Linked DNA regions of Astyanax mexicanus. The main gene of each other region encodes a partner of the protein of the gene in region 2 in a complex. Links are inferred from orthologs where the notes say so. Each region holds a gene or a part of one and is shown on either strand. Other genes may lie near its edges.

Region 1 (7,474 bases), on a different chromosome or scaffold from region 2:
CAGAAAATCTTACAGCAATTTATGTTTTCCTCTGCTGACAGATTTTATGGAGATCACAATAGCAAATGTTGATACTATGAAATAGTGTCATACTGTACAGCTCAACATGAACTGCACCTGCTGGTCAAATCCAAAAAATCTGAAGGCCATTGTCAGGAAGCATATCAGGCATACCTGGTTTACTAAAGCGAGGCCAAGTGTCTTTAGGTGCGGTCATCCATGTACTTCTGTGAAACTGCCTCTGTCGTTGCCTGGGCCTGAAAGGAAAAAACACACATACAAATTAACCAAAAAACAAGCCACAATAAAAAGTGACGGTCTTACAGTACATGTATGTGCATGCTTAAAAAACATCGAAAAATAGAAACCAAACCAACCTTTGGTCTCCCAAAACAGCCCGAGCTCCAAAATATCGCTTTAGTTCATTCTCAGGATTCAGGTTCCTAATAGACAAAAGTTAAGTTAAAAGTTAAAAGTTAACAGCAGCAATTTCTGAAACTGTAAAACAAAACGTATGCCATCCTTCAAACATTCAGAACTACAAACAGCCTTCACCTGTGCTCCACATAAAGTACAGGCCTATGGCCTGAGACTCCACTGTCCTCACTCTGGTGTGAAAGGCCATTGGTCTTTTCTATGGTCTCCAGCAGAGCGTCAATGTCATCCCCTGCAGTGGACTCCTCCTATGAAGATTTAGAAGATAGTAAGAGAAGAGGAAGAACAGAAACACAAGCAAAACCTCCAGTGTTAAAATGTTCTGTTTTACACAAGTTTATATGATATGTAATATATACAGTGCATGTCATACCTGCACATCCCCAGGAGCAGTCTTTTTTTTCTTCTTCTTCTTTTTCTTTTTTACTTTCTCGTTAGAGTCAGACTACAAAATAAAAAGAAAAGATAAGAATAGGAATGCTATGTTTAAATGGTTCTGTTTGTGATCAAATTTGCCACTAGATGTCATACAGAGCACCAGCATCTCAGGTCAGAACAAAAAAATGCAATTAACACAAGCCTTAACTTTGCCACGCATGTTAAAGGGTTGACTTGAGTCTCTTTAGAGAAGAATTTAACAGTTATTTGTCCGTTTTTAATTAATGGTAATGTAGTTTTAAACCTTTGTGGTCTCCATATCAGGTTGGCACTCTTGCTTTTGTACTCCATGGCTTCTCCCTGTCAACACGTTCTCCTCATCAGTGGGACTTTTGTCTGTATCATTGTCAGGGTCACCAATCTGTAACAGCACAGAAACAAATAAACATCCACCCTGCTAAGAAAATTATATAAACTGATAGAGGCAGTCACTCAATGTTTATTAGCAAAGATAGAAAATCAAGATATCTGTAATGCAGTTATCCTAATAGAGGTGCTAACTTTGAAAATCAATTATGAAATATTTACTATCAAAAATATCTGATCTAATGATCTATAAATATATACTGCCAGGATAGCATATGCCTTATACAATCTGAATCATATCATGCCATTGATTCTCATTTGCTCATATATACAATTACCTTTTACAGCTTCAGTTACAAAAATACTAGTGCATCTCAAAAAATTAGAATATCAGTGAAAAGTTACTTTATTTCAGTAATTCAATTCAAAATGTGAAACTGATATATCATATAGATGTATTACACACAGGGTGATCTATTAAGTGTTTATTTCTTTTTGTTGATGATTATGGCTTACAGCCAATGAAAACCCAAAAATCAGTGTCAAAATCAGAATATTATATAAGACCAATTGGTACTTTTGGAAGTGTGGACAGTGTGCCAAGTCCTACTGGAAAATGAAATCCTCATCTCCATTAAAGTTGTCAGCAGAGGGAAGCATGAAGTGCTGTAAGATTTTCTGGGAAAACACTGCCCTGACTTTAAACTTGATATAACACAGTTGACCAACACCAGCAGATGACATGTCTTTTCAAACCATCACTGATCATCAGTAAATTGTACATTTCATTTGGAAATCAAGGGATCAGAGTCTGCTGGAAGAGTGGAGACACACACAGTCCAAACTGCTTGAGGTCTAGTGTGACATTTCCACAATCAGTGATGGTTTGGAGAGACATGTCATCTGCTGGTGTTGATCCACTGTGTGTTATATCAAGTCTAAAGTCAGTGCAGTTTTGTTTTTCCACAAAATCTTACAGCACTTCATGCTTCCCTCTGCTGACAACTTTTATGGAGGTGTGAATTTTATTTTCCAGTAGGACTTGTACAATATGTCCATAAAATCCAGAGTTCTAATATATTTTAATTAATTAATATGTGTACCTGGATTTTTTAATAGAATAGAATACTGATGGTGTATTTTGACATAATGGTGTATTTTTGATTGTCTCAGACATCTGAGTTTAAAAAAAGAAAGAATTTACTATACAATCATATTCATCTTCTGGACCAACCGTGTCTCTTATTTGTGTATAGTAATGTTTATAATTCTATAGCTATATCTTTAATTGGACTTAAAAAGTACATGTTATGTAATTGTAGATGCCAGGAAGTGATTAAAGTAAACAAATAGTACTAATAATAACAGTAACAGTATTACTGGTTATATTGATGATGATAATAGGAGATTCTGGGAGTATGGCTGGTCAGTGTGGAGTTTCATAAGTTTGTTTATATCTGGAATAAGAAGGTTTAGCATTACAGAGATCCTGAATTTGAGTTTTATTGTATTAGTAAGAACTCTGGTTATCAGCAGTCAGTCTGTATCAGTCTTTAGCTGTTCAGTGTTATTAAAGTTCTGACCAGTTCATAAATGTTGCTAATGTTCTTCTGAGATTTGCTCCTCTTGGTTTTCCTGCCTGCTCCTCTGACCGGCTGCAGAACCTCCTCCTGCTCCTCTAACTCCTCTCCCTCCCGCGCCGCCTCCTCCTCCTCCTCCACCCGCAGCTCCGCGAGGTCCAGGTCCTCCTGGCCGCGCTGCTTCCCCTTCAGTCTGCGCAGCGCGCGGCTCGACATCTTCACAAACTCCCTAAAACCAGCGGATCTGCAGCAGCTGCGCCCAACTGAGACCCCACCATAACCAGCACCACCAGCGACCCAACAACACGCCTCCTGATTGGACAGCAGTACGGAAACGCTGTCACTGTCACTACCGGAAAACAAATAAAAGTCCCACATGTTAATACAACCAGAAAACTTTTTTTTAAGTATTTTTACAACCAACATCTCAAGCACATCAAAACAAAAACATAAATAGACAAACAAAATAAACAGAAAAAAGTGGGATTCAAATTAATTTAAAATATCGAAGGATTTATGTTTTTTTCTATTTTTAATTTGTCCAAAAATTTCCAGTAAGTAATAATAATTATTTAGGTCTGAATAAATAAAAGTTCGGAATAATGGTATCTATTACAAAGTAAATATAAAGTCAAATCACTATAATTATATTCATTAAGAAAAAATAATTGCATTTAGTAGAAGAGAGCTTTAAAGAATCTTTATAACTTTTGTTTTGTTGAATATATATGTATATTTTGTATTGTTTTGTTTTGTATTTTATTATGTTAGTTTAACCTAATTAAAACTTGATTTTATTTATATTTTATATATATATATATATATAAAAATGTAAAAGCATTAAAAAATCAACTAACCTAATTAATATTTAATTAGATTTCATTTTTAAAGAATTAAAATTATTTAAAAGTTGGACAAGCTAAAATAAAACAATTCACTAAATAAAAGCAGTCAAAGTAAGAGATCATTAATTAGAACAACAAAAAAAAGAACATAACCCCAAATGTAAAATCTGAGTAAGTAAAAATAACACTAACATAACAGTGAAGAAGGATAGGGGTAAAATTATTACAGAAGAAAAATATTAAATTATTATTATTAAAGCAAAAAGAATAAACATAATAATTACATGTTCATAATATATATCGTCCTTTTTTCGTAGTATAAATAAGAATAAATGATTAAAGATTCCTCGCATTGCTTAAAAAAACAACAAACACTTTCTGCTTGGGAATATTTACTGAGTGAGTGTGGAGAGTCTGCAGGGCAGCTCCACGCTGCAGCGACTCATTTCTATTCTCGCGAGATCTGAACTGGTTTCCATGGATCTGGTTTGTTGTTTGCAGACCATCAGCACAGGAGAGCTGTAGCTAAACTATCTAAAGCTAAATCACGAGAATATCTGTACAGTTTCTCTGCAGAAACACCCGAATACACACTGCCCTCATCTGACTGACCAGTACTAGCTACTTTACACACATACAGCATGGTAAGTGTGATTTAACAGCGTTAATTTGTTAGTTAGCTAACGTTATATAGGTTATATATCGGTATAGCTAGTGGAGGAGCTATCTAACCAGAGAGTTAGTTAAAGCTGTATAGACTAACAGTACATCATTAATGTGCGGTAATGCAGTGAGAATGGGTATTTGTAACATTATCCTCTCCAAATGTTCATATTTCAGCCTCCAAAAAAGAAAGGAGGGAAGACTGCGAAGGGCAAGAAGAGCCCTACAGTGGTGGATGGACTTTCCACAGAGGAAATGTCGAAGGAGCAGGTAAACTAATATTTTAGCCAGTTATAATGTCATTATTACTGTTTGTGTCTTCAGTGATAATTATCTAACAGGTTTCCAGCAGATTCAAAGGCTACTAAAGCTTTATAGTTTGTTTTTAAGGTTCCAACAACAATGAGACAGAAATTCTAAACGCATGTTGCCCCCCCTGTGGAGCAATGGAACTGAGTTTTTAGGAATGATGGTTCTCCATTTAGCACTTCTAGGGTGGTGAGTTGTTGAGATGGGGGTGAGGTGGGTTACTGTACAAAGGTGTGAAAAGTATTCACATTTAATATTCAAGTATAAGTATAGATACAAGGGTTTAAAAATACTTCTGTTTAAAAATACTTATTTTTAATCAAGTAAAAGTGTAAAAATACTTGTTTCAAAACTGCTTAAAGTATCTAAGTAAGAGTAATGTTAGGGGAAAATGCATTTAAATGCACATTTTTTTAAATGAAAGGAGTAGAAAGTACAGATAGTAGTGTGAAAATGTGAGGAGTAGAAAGTACAGATAGTAGTGTGAAAATGTGAGGAGTAGAAAGTACAGATAGTAGTGTGAAAATGTGAGGAGTAGAAAAACAGATAAATGTGTGAAATTGTGATGAGTAGAAAGTACAGATAATTATGTGAAAATGAAGGAGTAGAAGTTACAAGTCATCTTAAAATAATTACTCCAGTAAAGTATAGATAACCAACATTTCTACTCAAGTAAGGTAACAAATCATGTATACTGTGTAATATGACACTTCTGGGTGGTGATCATCCAATATCCTGTTCTCACTAACACGATTGTGGCTAAATGCAATAAAATCCCAACAGCAATGATCCAAAATCTATAATAAAGCCTTCCCTGGACAGTCGAGACATTTACTCCAACAAAAGCTCTATGAACTCTATTTATAATAATAAAATAAGCAGTTGTCCATATATTGTATATTGACTTTAAAGTGACAGTCCATAGGTTCTGGTGAGGATGTGAATTTGCACTGAGCATGCTAAAAGTACTTTTAAAATGTGCATTTTAGGCAAAGTCTTTTTACCAGAGTTAGCGAAACTGGTGACTGTTTGCACTCTCCTTAATTCACCAGTTCTCTCCTGGTCTATTTCTGTGTTTCTTTGGTTTAGTGAGATCTGAATGAGCTGATAAAGACTGTGTTTGCTGTTCTGATATCGTTACATTCACAATAGTTTTTTGTATCAACATCATTATTAGCACTATGGTTGTTCATGTTCTATGACCTACCAGACACCCTGTTTTTAGAATGAATATATGTGGCTTTGCAGGAAGCACACTGATGCCAAGTATTAAAACTAAAACTACGTCATTATCTTCATTCTTCATTAGTTGGAGGACCACATTGTCCGCTTGCGTGAAGAGCTGGACAGGGAGAGGGAAGAGCGCAACTACTTCCAACTGGAACGAGATAAGATCCACACCTTCTGGGAGATCACCAAAAGACAGCTGGAGGAAAAGAAAGCAGATCTCAGGAACAGGGATCGGGAAATGGAAGAGGCTGAGGAACGCCATCAAGTTGAGATCAAGGTATCAAGAATGATAATGAGAAGCTCTGGCACATGAAACACTGAAAAAGTTTAGATCTATCATGAATGATCTAACGGTGTTCGTTCTGTTATTCAGGTGTACAAACAGAAGGTGAAACACTTGCTGTATGAACAGCAGAACAGCATCGCAGAGCTCAAGACAGAGGGAGTGGTCACCACCAAACTGCTGCAGAAGGAACATGCAGACCTGGAGAATGATCTGCGGAAGGGCATTCGGAATCTAAAAGTGGATATCAAGGAACAGGAGCTTTCCAGTGAAAATCTGATCAAGAGTCTTAAACTGGTGTGTGAATGCTCAGCTTACAGCTAACATGACAGTCAGTGTTGATAGACTTTAGGCTGATAAGATGTGGACTCTTTTTTAGTTAATGCTATGCAGTTACTAATCATACCTTCTTTTCCCAGAAACATGATGAGGAAATTACCAAGATCAGGAATGATTTTGAACGACAAGTACGAGGTGATGTATCTCACCCTTTTTTATTTGCTTTTATATTAGAGTAAATATTGTAATGTTACAGGCTATATCTCTCTTTTACATAATGTACTACTGGTCAAATCATTTACTAATTAAAGGATTTTTTAATCAAGTGAATAAACCTGTCAACAACTTAGAGCAGATCTGTTGCATTGGAAGTAAATTAACCCTGATGCAAATTTAATGCAAACAATTTACTATTTACAGTCCCTTTCTCTGTATAAAAACAGTGTTGGAACAAACAACAGTGTTTCACTACCACAGTATTTACACAACACTCTACATTCAGATCGCTCATTACTCATTATGACTAAAAAAAGACACTTAAGTTTTAGAGGTTTGATCACTTGGACTACTGAAAACATTTAGGGTCTAACTGTTCTCATACTTTTGACCAGTAGTGTAAATTATGCTATTTTGTTTTCTCTTGCAGAAATAGAGGCTAAATATGAAAAGAAAATGCTGGCTCTGCGCCAGGAGCAGGATCTCAGACGCAAGACTGAAATCGAGGAAATAGAAGAAAGGAAGAACTGCCACATTAACACACTGATACAAAACCATGAGAAAGCTTTCAGTGACATTAAGACCTATTACAATGATATCACTTCCAACAACCTAGCCCTCATCAGTACACTCAAGGTATGCCTGTGTCTGATATAACCTAGTGTTTGCTATTGATTAAACCACTATAATTCTTAATGAATTCTCCTCTCTGTGTGCAGGAGAATGAGAGAGAAATGAAGAATAAAGAAAAGAGGTTGGAGAAAGAGATGGCAAAGGTGCTGCGGGAGAACAAGCAGCTGACCGAGCCTCTGCAGAAGGCCACTGAGGAAGCCACAGAACTCCGGAAACAGCTGGCCAATTACAATAAAGACAAAAACTCACTAGCGGTG
Region 2 (7,685 bases):
ATAAGACAAGAAGCTCGGAGGGAAAGGAGCATTTTCTCTCTTGATCTGTTACAGGGGTGCAGTAATGATAATCAGTTATCTACCTTTATAACCTGCTGTTATTAATGCACTAGTGTTACAGTTAGATGTACAGTACAGTGAGCAGATTTTGCCTGGTGGTGGAATCTCTACAGCGCGTGGGGGAGAGCCGTCCGCGGCATCGGTTCCCCCGCCGCCAGACACCTGCCGCGCGCGCAGGTCTTCACGGAGCTTATTTACCAACAATGTAGACAAATACAGTCAATTCCAGTCATGATTAAAGGAAACAAACATTACTAATGCAGGATAACTGTGTGTTATTAAAACCAGATCAAAACAAAGTTATAATGCAATGTGGAACTGTTTATAATTTCTTATTTTCAACAATAGTATAACGTAAAGAAGTATAATTATATAAATATACAGCTATAAGACTTAGGTCCAAATGTACACTGTAAAAGTTAATAAAGATAATACAAAATTAATGCAAGGTGTGACAGTTGTCTATGAATGGCTCATATAAGAGCTGCTTTAAATATGTAACACTATATAAAATCAAAATAGCTGGTCTAAAATACTATTAATACAATGTATTAAGATATTTAGTAAATAGGCATTTCATATAATAATTTGGATCAATTTGATAATTTATTCCAATATGTTTCCTAAAATAATTAAGTTTCTATATCTGATGAAATGTCCTGAATATCTGCTTATTCTCAAATCACAGTGTCCTGCCCAGAAACATGCCACAAGCTTCAAATAAAAAAAATATAATAATTATAAACTTCTTAAATGTATATTTTCTGAATTATGTGTTTATTTATTATACAAATTATTAAAATATAGATTAAATCTATCATAAAAGTAATAATGATGTAACCAGATTTAAGAAGGTGTGCATTTCCTTGGAGGCTGGCTGAATGTTATTTAGAAATTAATAAACACATTTGCACATTGCATTATAACTTTGTTTTGATCTGGTTTTAATAACACACAGTTGTCCTGCATCAGTAAAATGTTTGTTTCCTTTATTCATGACTGGAATTGACTGTATTTGTCTACATTGTTGGTAAATAAGCTCCGTGAAGACCTGCGCGCGCGGCAGGTGTCTGGGGGCGGGGGAACCGATGCCGCGGACGGCTCTCCCCCACGCGCTGTAGAGATTCCACCACCAGGCAAAATCTGCTCACTGTACTGTACATCTAACTGTAACACTAGTGCATTAATAACAGCAGGTTATAAAGGTAGATAACTGATTATCATTACTGCACCCCTGTAACAGATCAAGAGAGAAAATGCTCCTTTCCCTCCGAGCTTCTTGTCTTATTGCGCATAAAAACGTGAGCACGAATTACAGAAATCGTTCACTCGAATTACAGAAATCGTGCGCACGAATTACAGAAATCGTGAGCACGAATTAAAGAAATCGTGAGCACGAATTGCAAATCGTTCACTCGAATTAAAGAAAACGTGAGCACGAACTGCTACATCGTTCACTCGATTTTATTATTTTTTTTATCCACGGCCCCTCCCGGGCTCCGTAGGAACACCTAAATATTTTTTTTTTTTTTTGGGATTTGGACTTTTATGATTGAATACTTTTGGCAATATAGCTAACCTAACGCTAGGTAATTAACGTTAGTTAGCTAGGTGATGCCCTATAGTATGCTATAGCTAGCATTCATGAGCGAATACTTATTTACCCGTTCAGGTAACTTTAGGTTAGTTAGAAAAAGCTAGCAGGGTGCTCACAAAAATATATACGATAATACTCAACATATTTGCTTATTTTTTCAACAGTTAGTGAACACTTTTAGTAACTATATAACTTAGTTAAATAACTTAACTAACTTACTATCCATTCTTTAGCGCTGACACGGGTCGGAGAAGCAGCCGCAAAAAAGGACGGTTTCTTAGCGCACACATAGTTAACGACGCTTACATTCTTCAGGATATTTAACCTCAGTAAATAATCATAATAGCGTTCTCTTTTCGACTATTAAAACAACTTCTTTGCGCTGGGTTCGCGCTGACTCCCCGCCACCGCCATGTTAGCTTGTTAGCTTAGCTTAGCATTCGCTTAGCTAGGTCGCTACTGTCGCCCTGGTAACGGGGCACGCGCCCGGCCTCCACTCTGACCTGAGGTGAGCCGAGTCAAAGGAGCCGAGTGACTCAGTGAGACTTATACACACACACCTCTCACAGACACAAACAGGGGGTTTTATCTTTATTTTTTAACAAGGATTAATAGAAAACAGCTCGCGTAGGCCGCTCGAAGGACGCTACAGCAGGCCGTGGTTCGTTTTCTGAGAACAACACGCCCGCTGCTGTTAAAGGGCAGCGGGTGATATTAGGGTTAGTGAGCGACTCACCTCTCAGAGCGAGGGAGCTGCTGAGCGCCTGATCCGACTCCCACTGCTTCTTCTTCTCCACCACCTCCATCAGATCCAGCACAATCGAGATGATCAATAGACCAAATACACGGGCAAATTCTTTTTTTCGACCTCTAGCTGCATGTCTGTGCTGTAATACTGTAAGAAAAATACTACTCCTTCCGTTAAATTCCGTTTAATGAGAGAAATCTCAACTTTTCTCTTTCAGCTCTCCATCACCACAATTGAATAAACTGCATTTTATTATTAGCACGATCTGATATAAGTTATTGTAATAGTGATTTAACCTTGTAAGCGAACAATGCACGTTTCTTCCCTATAGGGTTAGTAAACCTAGCTCATTTACTGGTGGTTTGAGCTGGCTATTTGTAATTATTTATCTAGCTTCTAATAACCAACATGGCAGATGGCAAATCTTTCTCAAATATCAAAACCAATTCATATCTCATAAAAGAAAAAAAAATACGACCTGTATAAATTCCGCCGTTGTTAACATGCTGCACAGCATCATGAAAAGTCCATAGCTACCAGAGCCGGTTTATGCAGAGCATGCCCACTTTGACAGCAAACCGATAGGGGGAGCCCGCGAGTGAGTCCTTAATAAATGGGGTGAATGGAGCTAAACGGATAAAAACTCTAATTAAAAATAGTAATTTACTACTTATTCGAAATACTCATTTAATTTTAGAAATTCGAATAAAGTATTCCGCTAAAAAGTAAAGAAAACATAGCTATATATTAAAAAAAAAATCAACAGCAAACTGTTTTAGGCAGAGGCAAACACGCTAGCGTTACTGCTACTACTGTGTGCTGACTGGTTGGCAGAGATGTATAAAGCACTAGAGAACCAGACATGAGTAAAAGTACTATAATACTCAATAATGACTTGAGCACCACCATTTAAGTACGTGGAAGTACTAAAGTATTTAACATTTTTGTACCTAAGTATTTAAACAAGTAGATTTATTCTTAAATGTACTACTCAAGTACTGGAGGTAAAAGTACAAAGCGTTTTTAAAAAGCTCATAACTGGAGTTTAAACGCATTTAAATGTGGTACTAAAACATTTAATAATGTTCTGTGCTGAGAAATTAGTGTATTTTCCAGGGCAAAATTACCAAATATTTCATATGGTCCATGTGAACCCATTCATTTTGAACGTACTTGGGAGCGCCCTCTAAAGGCTTAACATTTTAATGCACAACATTGGTCAAACGAGTTTTATTTTTTTTATTTTTCCTATATCTTTGCAATAAATTACATGTATATTTTTTTTCATAATACATCCTCGTTTTTACATTCTTACTTTTTAAATAAAAACTCTATTTGTGTCAATACCCCCCAATGCACAACATGGGTTATATCATGGCCCACATTCATTTTCTATGTTACTTTATGTATGGCTATTCTTCCAGAGTCCAGCGAGAATAGGACTGCCTACTTAATTAACATACAAATGCAGAAATACATAAATAAATAAATTAAGACATATGAAAATAAATAAATGTAGAAATGTTTAAATAAATAAATGCAGAAATAAACAAATGTCTATGTATACACATATTACATGCTATGTTCACACGGTCACAGAGGTTTTTGTTCTTTTTCAGGATTTTAACAGCCTGATGTATTGTTTCTTAAGTCTATATTTAATAATAAAATAATTAATTTTTATTGTATGCTCTCGTTATTGTTTTATTTTATCTACTCTATTCAAGTATAAATTGAACTTGGAGCGTCTTTTTGTGTTTGTTTGTTTTTTTAATCAGAGCGTTTGCACAGCGTTGTGCTATGTGTCTTTTTAACGTAAAAAGCCAGTGTTTTCAGCCTCGTTCATGCATGGAAATAGATTCTTGATACCTTTTTAAATGTGTACTTTTTCATGACAAATTTTATTTATTTATGTATGTAATTTTTCGTCCTCCAAATTCACTTGTTACCGTTCTACTTCTACACACAATCCGAAACTTACTTCGACTTTTTTTTGACCACATGCGTTGGAGCAAAAAACAAACAGGCTTCCGTAGGGTATGACACGCATGCGCAGTGGCAGTCTTGTGCTGTGTGTGGTGTTGAGTCTCCGGAGAAGAGCAGATGAGAAGAAGTGTAACCTGTGTTTTTTCTTTCTGACAGGATGAAAAGCAGGTTTAACACAGTGGATATCAGAGCAGTGATCTCTGAAATTAACGCCAAGTAAGGACTGAATTCTGCTGCTGTATTCTGAATTCTGCACACAGGGAGAGGGAGTGGGGAGCTGGGTATTGCTAATTAATGTAGGCAGACATTAAACCTGTGCTGCTTCATGTGCTTCATTTCATCACTCTTTAAAAGATTGTAAATGTTCTGCATTATTTTTATATAAGTTTAGGTCAGAGAAACCTGACAGCTGTGTGTCAGCAGTCTATGGCTGCTGTTTTCTTCCTTGTCTCGCACATTAAAACCAGTTTTATAAAGTTACTCTGTAAATGTAACTTACTGATTTGTCAATGATTAATTTTGCTGTCGTATTGTTTAATGAAATTATGCTTCATTAATTAGATTTCATTAAACGTCACTGCTATTAAGAAGGTACACTTAAGTACAAGAATTTAACTAGATGTGCAAAATTGTGACCAATGACCATAGCTATAAATAAGTGCAAATATGATATCAGTCAGCTTTTATTTCCTGTCGGTAATACATTGAGGGTAACCCTCATTTTGAATGCAACAAATAATAAAATTATAAATAAAGAAGAAATATAATAATTCAGAACAAAAAGATATGCAGACAGGCTAAGATGTAAAGCAATAAAATAAAGAGATAAATAATTAGCATACTAAAATATAAACACAAATAGAGGACTAAAATAACACCAAAATAGTAAGTAAATACAGTAATAAAACGTATGAAAGGATTCATTTAATAAAATAAATAAAATGGCTTAAAGGAAAACCTGATTATATTCCATAGATTTTTAATTTGGTAAAATCAAAGAAACTCATCATTTTTGGGTGGTCTATTTTTTCCCAGAGCTGTGTGTATAATATATTTACAATAACATTAAGTTACAAACTAAATACAAATGCTAGCTTAAAATGTATATTTATTTGTTATCTATTTTATCTTATTTTCATTTAATTCATGAGCTGGAATAGGAAGGTGCAATAATTGTAAAAGTCAGTTTCCATACAAATCTTCATTAAATGCCAAATGCCATTAAACCCATTCTCATCCACTCTTGTTCATTTATTTCTCTAGTGAATTTAGACTGCATAAGCAAGATAAATGTGCTCATAATCATTGAATGGTATGAGTGGGTTTAAAAATCATTAAAAAAATATATATTTTTATTCTCCTCAGCTATGTCGGGATGCGAGTGTACAATGTCTATGACATTGACAACAAGACCTATCTCATACGACTCCAGAAGTAAGTGATCCAGTACAGCCAGTATTGTTATTGAGTGTTGGTAGTGAGCATGTTTAAATCTGATTCCATGAGATAATCATTTCCAAAATTCTTTTCTTTTTCAGGCCGGACAGTAAAGCAGTATTACTGATTGAGTCTGGAATACGAATTCACTCCACAGAGTTTGAATGGCCCAAAAATCTCATGCCCTCCGGTTTTGCCATGAAAGTAAGCATGTTGGATTTTAGTACAGGGATCACCTATTAGTTATTTGTACTACAAATGAAATATATTGCATTTGTTTCAATTATTTATATTCATTTTTAGTGCCGAAAGCATCTGAAGTCAAGAAGACTGGCGCATGTGAAGCAGCTTGGTGTGGACAGAATCGTGGACATTCAATTTGGGTCAGACGAAGCTGCATACCATCTCATAGTTGAGTTGTATGACAGGGTAAGCAAACTTGGGATTTTTTCCAAACAATTATCTCCAAAAAAAAAAAAAAAACTATTTATAGTTGCAGTCTAAATGCTTTCATTTTAGAAAGTGTTTAAATCATAACTGGCTGTATAAATTTTATAATATCAATGAAAAATTACTTTATTTCAGTAATTCAGTTCAAAATGTGAAACTCATATATTATATAGACGTATTACACACAGAGTGATCTATTTTGAGTGTTTATTTATTTTATTGTTGATGATTATGGCTTACAGCCAATAAAAACTCAAAAATCACTATCTCAGAAAATAGAATATTATATGAGTACTTTTGGTACTTTTGGTAGTGTGGGCAGTGTGCCAAATCCTGCTGGAAAATGAAATCTGCATCTCTATAAAAGTTGTCAGTAGCAGAGGGAAGCATGAAGAAGTGCTGTAAGATTTTGTGAGATAACAAAACTGCACTGACTTTAGACTTGATAATAAAACACAGTGGATCAACACCAGCAGATAATATTTGATATGTAATATATGAATTTTACATTTTGAACTGAATTACTGAAATAAACCAACTTTTCAATGATATTCTATCTTTTTGAAATTCAGAAGTGTAATATTTTACACAATTTTTTCACAACTAAACTTTACATTACTTTTTACATTTACAACAAATAAAGCCTTTTTTCATTTTATACTAAGATCCACTTTAACTTGTGTGTTTTGCATTTACAGGGAAATATAATCCTAACAGACCACGAGTACACCATACTGAACCTGTTGCGCTTTCGCACTGATGAGGCAGAGGACGTGAAGATTGCAGTGAGGGAACGCTACCCTGTGGAGAATGCCCGGCCTCCTGAACCCCTCATCAGCCTGGAAAGGTAAGTCCATGGTAAATCATTTAAAGTAATGGTGGCCATTTATTGCAGATCTTGGCACTGTTACAACTAGAGATGCTCAATTATATCATAATTATAACAATATGGATTAAATGCTGCAAAAGGACAAACTGGCCACATTAATTAATTGAAAAAAGAAATTTGTAACAGAAGTCAATGGTCTAGAATGTCATGGTACTACTAATCATGCACTCCAAATATCTCCATATATTACATTACATTACATTACATACATTACATTATCCAGGATTATAGTAAAATAAATTATACTGGACAGATATAATCTGTCTCTAGTAGATATATAATAAGAAATGAGAACAGTATGAATTTTTCTTTTGCTTAAAACAAACAAACAAACAAAAAAAACTAGCACCCTGATGTGATAATTAAGGGCGGGTGATATGGCACCATATTTCAGGGTATAATATTGTTCATAATATACAAAAATGATGGAAATATTATTGCGTACGATACGATATGGCACATCCCTACTTGCAGTGATATTTTCTATTACTGTACTTTACTCTTTACTGTATTTATTT

What was found.
Region 1: ribosome quality control complex subunit NEMF (region 2) and tcf25 share a complex: the UniProt entries of both Homo sapiens proteins name them as parts of the ribosome quality control complex. The link is inferred for Astyanax mexicanus from reciprocal best matches to the Homo sapiens genes NEMF and TCF25.

The regions. Positions count from the first base shown.
Region 1 is NC_064416.1:13,274,768-13,282,241, forward strand, and holds the start of tcf25 (transcription factor 25), read right to left. Parts: upstream 3,070-7,474; 5' UTR 2,976-3,069; coding exon 2,763-2,975; intron 1,235-2,762; coding exon 1,118-1,234; intron 881-1,117; coding exon 809-880; intron 684-808; coding exon 556-683; intron 444-555; coding exon 378-443; intron 258-377; coding exon 175-257; intron 1-174. Other genes in the region: gas8 (dynein regulatory complex subunit 4), read left to right, coding at 4,246-4,248, 4,445-4,537, 5,886-6,083, 6,180-6,386, 6,509-6,563, 7,015-7,220, 7,304-7,471. UniProt on the Homo sapiens protein: Component of the ribosome quality control complex (RQC), a ribosome-associated complex that mediates ubiquitination and extraction of incompletely synthesized nascent chains for proteasomal degradation.
Region 2 is NC_064421.1:45,012,487-45,020,171, forward strand, and holds the start of ribosome quality control complex subunit NEMF, read left to right. Parts: upstream 1-4,441; 5' UTR 4,442-4,548; coding exon 4,549-4,607; intron 4,608-5,756; coding exon 5,757-5,825; intron 5,826-5,929; coding exon 5,930-6,032; intron 6,033-6,131; coding exon 6,132-6,257; intron 6,258-6,976; coding exon 6,977-7,125; intron 7,126-7,685. Other genes in the region: MAPK/MAK/MRK overlapping kinase, read right to left, coding at 2,394-2,463. UniProt on the Homo sapiens protein: Key component of the ribosome quality control complex (RQC), a ribosome-associated complex that mediates the extraction of incompletely synthesized nascent chains from stalled ribosomes as well as their ubiquitin-mediated proteasomal degradation.